Arabidopsis thaliana: one gene and its partner. The protein of the gene in region 2 purifies or fractionates together with the protein of the main gene of each other region. This does not show direct contact. Each region holds a gene or a part of one and is shown on either strand. Other genes may lie near its edges.

The links. The genes of interacting proteins can lie anywhere in the genome.
Region 1: the proteins of APC7 (region 2) and UVI4 purify together in Arabidopsis thaliana (affinity purification with mass spectrometry, with the first as the bait; one large-scale study listed by BioGRID). This does not show direct contact.

What each region holds. Positions count from the first base shown.
Region 1 is NC_003071.7:17,601,372-17,606,721, reverse strand, and holds UVI4 (uv-b-insensitive 4), read left to right. Parts: upstream 1-3,016; 5' UTR 3,017-3,214; intron 3,215-3,264; exon of another isoform or gene 3,265-3,425; 5' UTR 3,426-3,438; coding exon 3,439-3,828; intron 3,829-4,092; coding exon 4,093-4,482; 3' UTR 4,483-4,850; downstream 4,851-5,350. Other genes in the region: AT2G42270 (U5 small nuclear ribonucleoprotein helicase), read right to left, coding at 1-2,392; CYP712A1 (cytochrome P450, family 712, subfamily A, polypeptide 1), read left to right, coding at 5,013-5,350. UniProt on the Arabidopsis thaliana protein: Negative regulator of the anaphase-promoting complex/cyclosome (APC/C) ubiquitin ligase required for proper mitotic progression and cell fate determination; inhibits premature cell differentiation.
Region 2 is NC_003071.7:16,311,091-16,320,678, forward strand, and holds APC7 (tetratricopeptide repeat (TPR)-containing protein), read right to left. Parts: upstream 6,301-9,588; 5' UTR 6,144-6,300; coding exon 6,075-6,143; intron 5,965-6,074; coding exon 5,896-5,964; intron 5,805-5,895; coding exon 5,754-5,804; intron 5,477-5,753; coding exon 5,342-5,476; intron 5,247-5,341; coding exon 5,184-5,246; intron 4,743-5,183; coding exon 4,633-4,742; intron 4,509-4,632; coding exon 4,424-4,508; intron 4,289-4,423; coding exon 4,229-4,288; intron 3,830-4,228; coding exon 3,784-3,829; intron 3,615-3,783; coding exon 3,541-3,614; intron 3,444-3,540; coding exon 3,393-3,443; intron 3,316-3,392; coding exon 3,115-3,315; intron 3,039-3,114; coding exon 2,994-3,038; intron 2,912-2,993; coding exon 2,818-2,911; intron 2,690-2,817; coding exon 2,544-2,689; intron 2,243-2,543; coding exon 2,013-2,242; coding exon of another isoform or gene 1,997-2,012; exon of another isoform or gene 1,919-1,996; coding exon 1,858-1,918; intron 1,768-1,857; coding exon 1,681-1,767; 3' UTR 1,567-1,680; downstream 1-1,566. Other genes in the region: EMB2799 (NAD(P)-binding Rossmann-fold superfamily protein), read right to left, coding at 42-135, 376-548, 831-943, 1,172-1,385; AT2G39100 (RING/U-box superfamily protein), read left to right, coding at 6,372-6,742, 6,823-6,960, 7,068-7,122, 7,262-7,518, 7,710-7,779; AT2G39110 (Protein kinase superfamily protein), read left to right, coding at 8,680-8,698, 8,939-9,315, 9,411-9,588. UniProt on the Arabidopsis thaliana protein: Component of the anaphase promoting complex/cyclosome (APC/C), a cell cycle-regulated E3 ubiquitin-protein ligase complex that controls progression through mitosis and the G1 phase of the cell cycle.

The DNA.
Region 1 (5,350 bases), 1.3 Mb from region 2:
CATTATTCTTGAGAAGTCCAGCTAAACACTTAAGAATTTCACGACTTTGACTATCTTCCTTCAAGAATCTGCTGAGGGTATCATTTGCCATAGCTGTGTCCCGTATTGCCCTTGCAGTTTTTGCTGTTTCCTTCCTCGAATGAACAAAAATAAGGACCTGGTGTTTTCCAGCAACAGCCACTACTTTCTGATAACATATATCATTCATCAACTGGAACCTCCGTAACGGCTTTTTCACATTAATTCCTATATACTGCTGACCGAGAGGCACAGGTCTGTAGCTACGGTCAAATATAAACAACCCATTTTTAAGATCCACTCGCAAAAATGAAGCCACATCGTCACAATTTGGCAGTGTTGCAGATAAACCTACCAGACGAATATGCTCCTTTGTGCTTTCAATCTGCCTAAGAGTCCTAGCGACAATACTTTCAAGCACAGGCCCTCGATTATCATCAAGAAGATGAATTTCGTCGATTATAAGAAGCCTCACAAGCTGTGTATAAGTGCGATCTCCAGATTTCCTGGTGATGATATCCCACTTCTCTGGCGTTGTAACAATTATCTGAGTCTCTTTGATTTCTTGCCCAGTAAGGGACTGATCCCCACTGAGTTCCTTCACAGTAACTCCAAAATCCTTCAAACGTTGAGATAGACTATCCACGACCTCAGCAACAAGGGCTTTCATTGGTGCAACATAGACAATTTTGTAATTACCATGATTAAACGTTCCACCAGGGTTCATATTCAATCCAAGCTGGTGCAGTATGGTGAGCACGGCAACATTGGTCTTCCCAGCACCAGTTGGAGCACAAAGAAGAATGTTGTCAGCCTTAAAAAGAGCAGTGCCGTACACTTTGCTCTGAACCCTATTCAACTGCTGCATTCCCCTAAAAGCTGGTTGGGCCCACTCTGGCAAATCGCTAATTTTCACAAGCTTTTCATTACTATCAAACTTTTTAGAAACCCACGGCACATGAACCTCATCAAATTCCTTGCCACGTATTCTGAAAGAGCGATCAGGAAGCTCACACTTGTTATTCTCCCTCGTGAAACCACCTTGGTTAAAAGCAAGGCTCTCCAGGTCCATCACCTGACGCTGGCCCTTCAACCAACCATTCTCCAAATCTAAATCATCAACATCTCTCATGCCTCTGTCTCCGTCAACACCAGAATCATCATCCATAAGATGTTGAGCTTCTTCTTTGATATCTTTCTCCCGTTTCTCCTCCCTTTCTTTGGCTGTTGCTCTTTTGGCATGCAACTCCTTAACAATTGCTGCCAACTCTGAACCTAACCCCAACATCTCCTCCTCAATTTGATTCCTCTCTTCCTGGTCTCTTCCCCTAGCCAAACGGGTGCACCACACAACTTTAAGACGGTTTTGCAACAGAAATTTAACAAGGCTGAACTTTTCAAACTGAAGGTGCTCAAGCAGCTTGATCTCAACATCCCTATCATTACCCTCAGCAAGTATCTTAAGCAGCTCTTCTGCGAGTTCCTGGCACTCTTGTGCATCAATCTTCTGCTCATATTCTTGAGATATCTTTCTCTGAAGCCAATAAGCATCAATATCCAGAACATTAAGACTCGTATCCTCCTTTGCCTGTCTTGCATCCTCGCCGTTTATTGCCACACCCACCTGGACAACTCCAGTTTTGTTAAGCTCAACAACATCTTCATCCTCCTCATCTTTTTCATCCTGGACCATATCAAGATCACTCTCATCATCATCCTCTTCACATTCAAGGGCAACACCAATATCATAATCAAGTCCTCCATCCTCACTAGCTTTACCACTTAAAGAATCACCACCCTCTTCATAGTCTGTAATCAGTTTTCCAATCGAAACAAACTGACTGAAAACCTGATCAGTAATAACGTTTAGTAGTTTCTCAATCTCTACCTTCTTTTCATGGTTTTTGACGGATTCATTCTTAAGAACTGCCAAAATCTCATCAGCCGCACCGCAAACAATGTCCAAAGGCTGCCCACCCAATTGCTGCTGGATAAGACCAAGCATAATCTCAAAAGCAACCCTTGTTTCCTTAGTCTTCGGCTGATAAACACCATCCTCCGTATCATTAAGTACACTCACCTCCCTAAGACGAACTCTTTTGCTCTCACGAGCAGACACCAAATCATCACAACGTTCCTTCTTCTTCTTAGATTTATTAAGCCGCTCATCTAACTCATGAGGCCTTCCCCTAACGACACGATCTCCAAAGGATTTCGGATCAATCCTACCCCTGAGACTCTCCGGTTCACCAGAAGATTCATGCGTATCACGACGACGCTCATCACTGTTAAGAACAAGACTGGAATTGACTTTGTACCCATACTGCTTCAACCTGGCTTGCTCCTCCGCACCACCACCACCCAAATTCGTCATCACCAAATCGGAAAAACAAACCCCAAATTCCAAGAATTAAATCAATGAAACAAAACAAAATTCGGAACGAAAAACTCTTCTATTACCTCTCTCCCGTTCTCCGTAATCGTCGTCTTAAGAATTTGATCGAGTCGATGAGTTTTTTTTTTTTTTCGTTCAACAGTCTTATATATACACCCTAAACAAGTCTTAAACCGACAATACATTGTCGGCCACAAATTCCAAACCCACGAAGGCCTGTCCGGAAGCCGACTAAAATTATGGAATTGTCCGGTTCAATCCGTTTTAACTATAATTAGAAGAAAACATTAATTAGAGTTGGTTCTTGATGAGTGTTTTCGTATAATCAGAGCAAGTTATCGTATCATTAGACCGTACCAACTAGCCAATCCGGTTTTCTGGTATTAGTAAAAAGCAGCGGTTGGATCCTATGACAATTAACGGTGAGGATTCGATCTTGAAAGCAATGCGTACGTAAATAGAATTGGGCCACAAGCCCAGTTTTATTCAGAAGGGCAAAATTGAAATCTGACAAAGAATTTGACGAATTGTGACAATGTGCGCTTTGAAAAAAAACGAAATTTATCCCGCGTGAGATGAAAAATTCAAAATATTTCACACAGGTGAAACCACTTTGACACGTGCGAGCTCGAAATTTTTCATTTTCAATTACAAAACCCGCCTAGAAAATGGTCTAAATTTTGTTTGCCAGATCGTCTCTCTCTCAAAAGCTTTTCTCTCTTTTTCTCCTTTGTCCCCTCCACTTTACCGTTCACGAAGCCATTCCGAGCTATCACGAAGGAATCTATTGAAGATTCATAGGTAAATCCATGGTTTGATTTGTTCAAGTAGGTTCTTTGTGATGTGACGGAGATTTGTTGCGAAAACGAAGAGTTGATCTCTTTTTCTTGTTGTTTATGAGGTTTCGAGAAAATCTGATTAACAATGGAGAACAAGACTGAGTTCTTGGGTTTTAATGTTGCGATTTCGATTTTGGGTGTGTTCTAATGGCATAGTTGTTTGATTTCTTCAGCGCTCAATCACAAATGCCAGAAGCACGAGATCGAATAGAGAGGCAAGTTGATTACCCAGCCGCATTTCTCAATAGACGCTCGCATGGTATTTTACTTGACGAACCAGCAACACAGCACAATTTGTTTGGGTCTCCGGTTCAGAGAGTGCCATCGGAAGCTACAGGAGGACTTGGGTCAATTGGTCAAGGATCTATGACGGGAAGAGGTGGGCTTGTGAGGGGTAATTTCGGTATTCGGCGGACTGGTGGTGGTAGAAGAGGTCAAATTCAATTTAGATCGCCACAGGGACGAGAGAACATGAGCTTGGGTGTTACAAGGCGTGGAAGGGCTCGTGCTTCAAATTCTGTCTTACCTTCTTGGTATCCAAGAACGCCCCTCCGTGATATTTCTGCCGTTGTTAGGGTTAGTTCACTAAACCTAGTCTCATTTTGGATTTGTCTGCTTATTCTTAGATTTAACTGGAGTTTTTTTCATTGATATATAGCTAATTTGTGATCTGTTTATATCTGGTTTGTGATTTGCATATTGGTTCAGAATCTGCTGCTTATAAGCTAGATTAGTCTTCTGTAACAGGCTTGCTTAGCCTCTTTGTTAACTATATCATAAGTCATAACCTGTTACCAAAAGGCTTGCTTAGTCTGGCTATTTACAAACTCTTATATGCAGGCTATTGAGAGAAGGAGAGCTCGTATGGGAGAAGGTGTTGGCCGAGATATTGAGACCCCAACTCCACAACAACTTGGGGTTCTTGATTCTCTAGTACCGTTGTCAGGTGCTCATCTCGAGCACGACTATTCTATGGTTACTCCCGGTCCATCTATTGGATTCAAGCGTCCTTGGCCACCCTCAACTGCTAAAGTCCATCAGATTTTGCTCGACATCACAAGAGAAAACACAGGGGAAGAAGATGCCCTCACTCCAGAGAAGAAGCTCCTCAACTCTATTGATAAAGTGGAGAAGGTTGTGATGGAAGAGATTCAGAAAATGAAGAGCACTCCTAGTGCTAAAAGAGCAGAAAGGGAGAAAAGAGTTAGGACGCTAATGTCGATGCGATGATGATTCATCATCCTCTGGTGATTCACTAGAAAGAGGTAATCATCTCTGTGATGATATATAGTAGGGAGATTCTATCATTTTTCTAATGATAAAAAAGAAGAAGAAATTCATCTTCTGATGATATATCATATGGGAGATAACTGTTAGATAGTTCACGGGTTTATGTTGGATCCCTTTTACTTTTAGGCTTTTTGTATGATGAGGATGTCTTCTTGATTCAGGATATTGTAGTTAAACAGTTGTACAGAAGTTTGGTTTGTTGGTAGAAATTGCAGATGTTCTTGTATGTGTGTATCTGTAATTGTCACAATCTAGGAAGTGCCTTCGAATAATAAAAACTTCTAATCATTTTTTTTTTTTAATTCCCATCAAACAATTTTCATATATGTTACGTCACACATTTTATATTTGGTAAAAGGTCACATCTGTTGTTTTGTTTTCTTTACAATGAGCATCTAATAAACAAGATTCGTCTGTGTCTGGATATAAATACAAGCATACTTCAAAAATTGTATCAATACCTGCCTGCAATGGATTTAAAACTAAACACTAAACTAATTATTCTCATCACATCCTTAGCTTTTCCTTTCATGCTTTATGCTCTCTTCAAATGGTTCTTGAAAGAGCAAGGTTCATTGGCTGCTACGAAGCTGCCACAGAGCCCTCCAGCTTTACCATTCATTGGCCACCTTCATTTGATAGGCAAAGTATTGCCTGTCTCATTCCAAAGTTTAGCTCACAAGTATGGCCCACTCATGGAGATACGTCTCGGTGCTTCTAAGTGCGTTGTGGTCTCAAGCTCTTCGGTGGCGAGAGAGATTTTCAAGGAGCAAGAGCTTAATTTCTCCTCGAGACCTGAGTTTGGTTC
Region 2 (9,588 bases):
GAAAACTGAAAGAAAATAGGTATTCAGGTGCTGAGACAAACCTCGTTGCATTCTCCGTTATCAAAGCAATCATAAGGTGCAGAACTAGATGTGAATAAGAATGATCCTTCGCCATTCCAGTTTGATGCTGCATTCCTGATCCGATTGTAAACACAAGCATACACACATATTAGACAGTTGAATGAAGGCAAATGTTTTTACTGTTGTCACATAGGATGAACTAAAAAGCACAAATTGACGTTTAGCTTCATTTTTCTTCTCCAGCTAATAAAGTCAAGCGCACAATAGTCGACATTTCTGGCATTCACTAACAGATCATAATGCATAAATTGACTTTCTAGTTATTAAAACATAAGATTTTTTGTAATTAATCACCTGACTTCACCAGCATAATCAGCGCTTTGTGATGGTGGAGCACAAAAGATCACATAGGAGAACTTTCCCCCATATTCGGTTCCTTTAAGAGATGGTTTGATACCCAAATTCTCCAACTCACCATGATGATTTGTTGTTACTGTCTGCCCAAAGATTTGAGACTCTGGATGTTCCTGCTCCACATATAAAGCTCTAACTCTAACTTCCATATTGTGAAAAACATGACTCTTACTATATATACGTTGTGAAGAAAAAGTACTAGTCACTATCCACACACACACCATATTGATAAACACTCAAGACACATTAAAACAGGGATTTGCAGGACATCATAAACGTTTTTGTTTTCGTAGTACAGAAACACCATATCTATCGGATGTTCTATAAGAAGAATATGAGTAAGTATCAAATTGAGCTAAGTCCCCTGTAGGGGATATACAACACAGAAATTATACCTGTCTCCACTGTTCTGCAACTAAGCGTCCAAGAACACCCGGTCCAACAATCAGCAGATCGTTTGCTCCAATTGAAACATGAGACTGGACCTTCAAGCCATCACTGGTCTCACCTTCATACAAAACAACATATTAAAAAGGTCACTACTTTGGAGAGGCAGATCACTAAACCTTCATTTACCATATTCTTAGCTTCCTCATCAATGTAATCAGAAATTGTAAATCATTCGAAAGCTCTAATTACCTCACTAAGCATAAAAGATTAACATAGGATTATCTTAAAAGTCAAAGTTCACTAATCCTTAAAGCAGTCGAATTGAAGAAGTAGAGAGTGAAGATACCAATGGTGGAGGAAGAAGAGGCTTGAATAGGGGTCGCCATTAACGAAGACGTTAATGGAAGAAAAAACGAGACTTTGGGTTTATCCTCCTGACGTCTCAAAGCAAACTTAAGTGAATATGAAGAAGACGCTGAAGTCGAGTGCTTGGAAAAGTGGTGAGTCGATAGAATTCTTGAATTGATCGTCGGAAATGAGATGCAAGAGATGAAACCCATTAAGACAAAAAAGCAAAAAGCTTTGGCTTTTGACGACGAAAAAGATTGAGTTGGCGTGGGGAAAGAGATGGGATTCTCCGTGAGACTTTGGTAATGGGTTCTCTTGGTGTGTTTTAACCAATGGCGTATTTACACGTCACGACGTCCAATGTTGTAGAATATTGGTCTTTTTTTTCGTTTCTTTTCATATTCTAAGTTTGTTTATAGGAAACAAAAGGAATGACATTTGCTATTAATATTAATGTTAAGGATTCGATAGTTTTACAGTTTACACACTCTTCTGTCTCTCTACTCTTCACATGAGCTCAGCTTCTTCGGTGTCTCCATCAACATCTTCAACATCGTTCTCGTCATTCTCATCTGTTGCATCTGGGTCTATTCCCTGCAACAAACACCCCAATTTTGTGAATACACTAAACATCATCCTTGTTCGAGCTTCATAATAAAATGGTTCGATTTGATTCTTCCCAACCTTCATTTGTTTCTCCAAGCGATCTAGTCCCTTTTTGGCTGCCTCATTCTGTGGATTTATTCTGCGTTTACATTATTTACACTCTGTTATATCGTTATTGTTTCGCATAGGAGCAACAAGAACTATAAGCACTACTGGCTTAGAATTTCATAAACCTTAATGCAGCTTGAAAGTGTGATAAAGAATCTTGTAGCATATTCGTTGCAGCAAACACTTGAGCTAGCTTGACGTGGAGAGAATCATCTGCATAATCTTTGAGATATCGTTCAAGTAGTGATACAGCATCTCCATTCCTCCCTTCCATTAGATGAAGCTCAGCTAGGGCTAACACAGCTCCAAGGTACCCAGGTTCCAGCCTCAGACCTGACTCGTAAAACTTTTTTGCCTGTTATAAAACCATATCATTCTACTGTTACACCATAAATTTTTATACATAATGTAAAGATCACAAGAAGATACTCACAAGCTCTGAATAGTTTCTCAGATTTGGTATACACTATGCTTATCAAAATTGAGATTTGAACAGTTAAGTTTAAGGAACTTTCCCAGTTTCAATATTTAGTATTATATGCAACTAACTCCCTAAAGCTTTCACCGCTTCTGATTAAGATGTAAAAAATCTGGATAGAATATTGATATGATGAAAATTGACACCATAGAAGCATAACAAAGCTGAATGTTTGTACCTTTTCCCTGCCACTTGATGTAAACGCATGAACATCACCAACTAATTTCAGAGCCTTCGCGGATTGAGGCATTGCATTCATTGCTTCCCTGGCGGTATACAATGCTTCTTTGGTTTTACCAAATGCAAGATAAGAATGGACTAAGCCTGAAATGACCTCAATAGCGCAAGTTAATTACACACTCCAACCTTTTCATGATTGTTAAAGGTTTATACCACCAAAACAGTACAACAGTGGAAGTGTATATCAGATCTTTTTCCCTCGTGAACCAGACCTTGATATGAACGAAGATCGGACCTCAAATTCTGGGCAGCCCTGAAGGCGATCGCTGCAGCTTCTGGTCGTTTTGCTTGTAAAAGTAGATTTCCCTGACGTCTTAACAAATTAGTGGATATATATATATATGCAAACTTACTAAAAATAAATAAACTCCTCGTTGAACTAGCTTACCTTCATTATGTAGCCGGGTATGTGCCTCTCGTCTACCCTGATACTCTGATTGCATAGTGTATGTCATGAGCTATCACACAAAGATTTTGGCACAAAAATTCAGTGTCAGAAAAAAGCTAACCTTCTCAGCATAAGATAATGCCGTCCTTGCATCTTTCCTTTCCCATAGTACAGACAAAGCAACAAATACTTCTGCTCTGGTATGATCAACGCTTAATAAATCGTGGACGAGCTTGTTTAGCCTGGAATAATCACACTTAATCTGAAGCAGCATCGCATACTCATCCATACTGGTTAGTGTGTAAGGATCAATTGACCGAACCTATAAAAGCTTTTAGATGATTATGCATGAATTAAAGAAGTTGAGAATTGAGAAAAAAATATCCATGTGGTGACTACCTTCTCAAATCTCATTATGGCCTCATCATTTTTCCCAATAATGGCTTCAACCTATACAAATGAAATAAATGTCAATCAGCGTCAGTCATGATAAAATGAAAAATTCAGGTGAAATTCTGTTTGCATCGTAGTCGATGTCATCCCTAACCTTTGCTGTCTCAGTCAACAAGTGTACATTATTTGGAAATCGTTGTAAGAGTTCAGCAAAGAGTTCCAGCGCCCCTGAGTAACAAAAAAATATTACACCATATCCAGTAAAGCAAGCATCAGATTGCAGAATTTCCCACAAATAAAATGCAAGAAATGAAATCTACAAGGTTAAAAAAAAAGAACTAAATGCCTTATTTCATCCATTGTAGGCATAGGCATCCCAAAAAGAAAAGAGAGCTACCTTTGTAAGCATGCGAAGCAACACAACACTGGGCCTCTACATAACGCTGTGAAAACAAAGAAAAATTACCGAAAAAGACAAAGAAGAAAATAGATTTTATTGCCAGGTATGCTACAACATGAAACCAATGAAACATCCATCCAAGAAAAGTTATGTGGAGTATTAGTTTCCTGGTTAAATAGTCGAGCTTCTACTAACACAAGAACATCAAAGCACTACTTTGTTAAAGGGAATAATACTATTAAGACGATTTATTCACTTTCCACACATGAACAGCTTGAAGACAGAATTCTTAGAATCATTATATATGAAGTCGTATTCGGGGGAAAATAGTTGATAAAATAAGATTCTAACTCACGTACAATAATCAGCTTGGCGGCATGATTAATGAGTGTACTTTCAAACAATTTTCAACGTTGTAAATCCTGTTAAAGAGTAAGCTTACTTGCAACCAGCGGGTAGGATCTATCTGATCGAGTGAAACCTTTGCACTTCTATTTGAAGTCTGAAATGAACAAATGACACAACAAATTACAAAGTTGTATGGATTTCACACAGAAAAGGTAATTGCAAAATAGAGAGAAAGAGGTGCAAAACACATTTGAAGAAGTGGTGAAAGAAATCTCGTAGAAAGGGACACCTGAGTAAACGATGATATGATATCCTTTGCACTAACTCCCAGTTCAGCTAAACCTATGACGGCTTCAAGTACATAAGGACACTGCCTGCAGAGATTAAAGATTATATATATGTTTACTATGTGTTGAATTGGTATTTAACGTAAAAAGTGAGATATTATAACAGTGTTTCTATGCTAGGAAATGTTGGGAAAGAAAACGAAAAACAGACCTTAAACACTCTTTATAAAAAGCAATAGCACCACGGTTGTATCCAGAATTTCGATGAAGCTTTGCCATCAGTATATTCATCTCTAAGCTCCTGGTCTTGACAGATTCCATCTGGCAAAGAAATAACAAGTGCAAAAATAGATTATAGCTAAGCAGACCATGGCTTTATCATCCCTAATACCTACATGCAGTGTTGGAAGGAATCCAATTAGTTTACTTGTTTTGTAATATGGATTTGCATTGATGGGAGCAGGTCAACGCAACAAAATTCAACTCACATTCAGGAATACTATAACAATGCATTAGTTACGGCCCAAGAATGTTTCACTGAAATTACAGTTACTTAACTCTGGTTATAAAATACAATAGCAAGACATAAAAGTCATCCTATACAAAACCAATCTATAATCTTAGAAATAGAGAAATCCCTAGACAGCTCTTTTACCGTCTCATACACACATATTTTATTTTCTATATACCAAAGTTTCTAGACCAACAAATCCAGAAGACTAAATAAATCTTGAAAACCAGACAAACAGATGACACTCATACCTCAGCAATCGCAGCTTTTGTTTCATTAAGAGCAAAGTGAGATGAAGCAATCTTGAATCTCACCTAAAAGGAAAGTTAGAAAAAGAAGATGCACATGAACTCCAATGAAATTAAACCAAACCACATCACTTTCTGGAAACTGCAACACAGTTATTTACCTCGTTCTCATTAATAGCAGAAATGCTGGAGGCATTCACAGATGATCTGGTAGATAAAGATAATGAACTCCTCGAAATACCGGAGCTTTGCTTCGGAATCCTTGTGTAATGATGCAACGCTTGCTTGTACGTATGCTGACAAAAAGAAGGAATACATATTCAGAATTTCGAGATGACTTCAAAGTAATCCACAGGAAAAGAATAAGCAATACAAATATAAAACTTATCTCTGCTCACTCCATAAATTCATATAATCAGAATCTTTACAATTTTATCATAATCCAGTCAAATTCAAGTTCCGAGAATGATTTATAGAGTTCAAATTTGAGGCAGAACTAAACTATCGAGAACTGAGTAACATTTCCTTCACAGCAAAAGAGAAACATAAAGAATGAAACTTTTGAGAACTTACAATAGCTCTCCGGTGTTCTCTCTGATGAAATAAAGCATCACCCAGTAGAATCTGATTAAAAAACACAGAAAGAATCTAACTTCAATCTAACGGACTCAGCAGCTACTAAAATAGAAAATATCGACGGAGAAAGAAGCTTAACCAAATTCTCCGCCTTGAGCTGAGGACTAGTTTCGGCACTAACAGTAGGAGAAGAAACGAGAAAGCAGCCCTGGATTTAGTTGCATATATAGAGAGAATTTCATTAGCTCTTGATGAAAACTAGGGATTTAGAAAAAAAGAGATAGACAATCAAAATGAGCTAAAAGCTAGAGAAGTTACGAGCATTTCAGCAGAATCGTAAAGCCCATGCTCTATTAAAGTCGCGATCTGCTCCTTTGGAACCTCCATTTCAGAGACAAGAGAGTTCGTCGTTAGTGGCAATGGTGAAGTTTTTTCTTCGGAGCAGCGATGAAGTAAAAGATCCTTCACGCTCGCTCTTCATTTTGAAACAAGAAATCTCGAACCGAGTCAACCCAAACCGACATTAACCGGTTATCTATCTGAAATCCATCTCGGTTCATTAAAACCCGACTTTTCCAAGAGCCCGACTTCACCGAACAATCTCTATCTCCGGTCATGCCTCCATTACCGTCCTCCACGGCGCCTTCGTCTTCGAGACATCTTCGATCGCCGGAAAGTATCGCGAAATTTGCAGGGAGAGCAATATTTCCTGCTTTACAGGGGAAATCGTGTCCGATATGCCTCGAAAATCTAACCGAGCGAAGATCCGCCGCCGTGATCACGGTGTGCAAGCACGGATACTGCCTTGCTTGTATTCGGAAGTGGAGCAGCTTCAAGAGGAATTGTCCTCTTTGTAACACTCGTTTTGATTCCTGGTTTATCGTTAGTGATTTTGCTTCTAGAAAATACCATAAGGAGCAATTACCAATTCTTCGTGATCGTGAGACTTTAACTTATCATCGGAATAATCCTTCCGATCGCCGGAGGTTATCTCTCTCTCTAAGATCCTCTCTATGAAGTTAAAAATCACTTCTTTATTATATTCACTTGGTTATTATTTCATTAGGATAATTCAAAGGTCGAGGGATGTTTTGGAAAACTCTAGCTCAAGATCAAGGCCATTGCCATGGCGGAGATCATTTGGACGACCAGGTTCAGTTCCTGATTCTGTTATCTTCCAGCGAAAGCTTCAGTGGCGAGCTAGGTTGGTTTACTATTGATTCTAACTCTATAGCTTCATTTGCAATCTCCTTTTTCGAAGTGTTAGATTAGTTCGCCGTTGTTTCTAACTAGTGTTGGCTCTAAATACAGCATATACACTAAGCAATTACGAGCTGTTCGATTACATTCAAGGCGCTTGGAACTAGTAAGTTTCATTATACAATGTGTTCTTCTCTGTTTGATGTTTGTAGTATTGGGGTTTACACTCTTACATTATTGGATATATGTTCACATTGGAAGCCTTATATATACCTGCTTCGTTGTGTCATCTTGGATTATTGTAGAGTTTGGCGGTGAATGATTACACCAAAGCAAAGATAACTGAAAGAATTGAGCCATGGATTAGAAGAGAGCTTCAGGCAGTCCTTGGAGATCCTGATCCCTCAGTTATTGTTCATTTTGCGTCAGCTCTTTTCATCAAAAGGCTTGAGAGAGAGAATAATCGACAAACCGGGCAGACCGGGATGTTGGTGGAAGATGAAGTCTCCTCTCTTCGAAAATTCTTGTCTGATAAGGTGGATATATTTTGGCATGAACTAAGGTAAGATTTTTATACGCTAGGGTTTTTTCAGAGTTTCAAGTAGTTACAGGTTTAGTATAGTAGTACAGAAAACACATAGGCAACCTAAACCTAGTGACTTGTAAGTCTGAACAGATGATAGAGCTGATATCTGTTTGGTTTAGGTTTTTTGGTCATATACTATTTCTGATGAGAAAGAAAACATTTTTCAGATGTTTTGCGGAGAGTATACTCACGATGGAGACTTATGATGCAGTGGTTGAATACAATGAGGTGGAGTAATAGCAGTAAAAAAAACAGGTAAAGAAATTAGGATATGTATTATGTGGGTTTGGTTTCACTAAGTAGGAACCTGTTTTGCTTCGATGGTTTTTTTTCTGAAGTCATTATGTTGTATTCGCTTGCAGATAACCGAGCACTATGCTCTCGTCAAATGAAGTAAATAGACAGACTTACAACGCGACTGTTGGTGTCTTGGAAGTTCAATAGTGGAAAGACTGGACCAAGTAAGAGAAACCAAGAGTTAAAGAGTAGGTAGGAGGAAGATGTTGAGATGATGCAAGTTTAGGTGTGGAGTTAGTTTTGAGATAGCTATAGGTGGATTCTCAAATAGCTGACACTTAGTCTCTCTACTTCCATAATGTACGTCTCTTCTATACCAAAAATTCTCACCCCCAAAGTTTCTTTCCAACGCTTTTCCTCACCTCATCATTTTTTCTTACGTTTCGAGTACCACCTATTTCAACAACATTAAATATTTTCTATAATTTGACTATCAATTTTTAATAAATTAAAACTATACATAGTTTTAGATAAATTACACGAAGCTTCCATAGAAGAGGAAAGTTCATTTGAATTTCTCTTCTAAACCGTACCTTAAAGATTAAATGGTGAATATACACGGGGAAATTTTTTTAATAAACAACGCGTTCTCTATTAAGGTATTGATTGATATAAGTAAGCAAGCGGGTGTAACACAAAATAAAATATTATAAAAGGCTTCTTCTATAGGTTGGTAAGCGGCAATCCAGCTGCCATTGCCTATTTGACTTCCCCCATTCGATCATGGTGAGCTCGTCTTCTCTCTTCTCCTCTTATCTCTTTCTCTACCATTTTCTTTTGCTTTAAAGCTCTCTCAATCATGATCATGAAGACCCCCATCACAGCATTCCATTCATCCTCATGAATAATTCTACATCAGGTTTCTTCTCTTTCCCTTTCTGATTCTCAACACTCTTACCACATTTCTACTTTTGTGTTGTATATCGATTTTTGTTCTACATTCTTCCAAATGTCAGGGAATCTAGTTGAAATGTGATGATTTTTGTGTTGATAACTTGATATCTGGTATGGATTGAATGATTGGTGATTATCTCTGTTAATTCATCTCTGATCGTGTTTCTGTTTGTGTTGACTTGGAATGTGGACCTGGTTTGGATAGTGAAGAGGCTGGTTTCATCTAAGGCAATGAAATGTTTCTACTTCAGCAAAGACAAAACTCAGGATGATGAAGCTAAGACTAGAAAGTTTGGTTCAGCTACGATGGCTAGAGGAGGATCAGGGTCTGAGTTTAATTCAGATACAAGTACTGCTACTTCCATTACTTCTTCCTTGCACGTCCTCTCAGAGACACACAGTAATAATCTCAAAGTATTTGTCCTCGATGACCTTAAAACCGCTACCAAGAACTTCAGCCGCTCCTTGATGATCGGTGAAGGTGGCTTTGGTGGTGTCTTTCGTGGCGTGATTCAGAACCCTCAAGATTCTCGTAAAAAGATTGATATTGCAGTTAAACAACTTAGTAGAAGAGGTCTACAGGCAAGCAAATCTTTTTCTCTCTCTTTAGTTTGCTTCTGTTTTACACAACCTCCTTCAGTACCCAACAATAAAAACAACTACGTATGCATTAACAGGGGCATAAAGAATGGGTGACAGAGGTAAATGTATTGGGAGTAGTGGAGCATCCGAATCTGGTGAAGCTGATCGGTTATTGCGCTGAGGATGATGAGAGAGGGATCCAACGGCTACTTGTTTACGAATACGTACAAAACAGAAGTGTTCAAGACCATTTATCCAATCGTTTTATAGTCA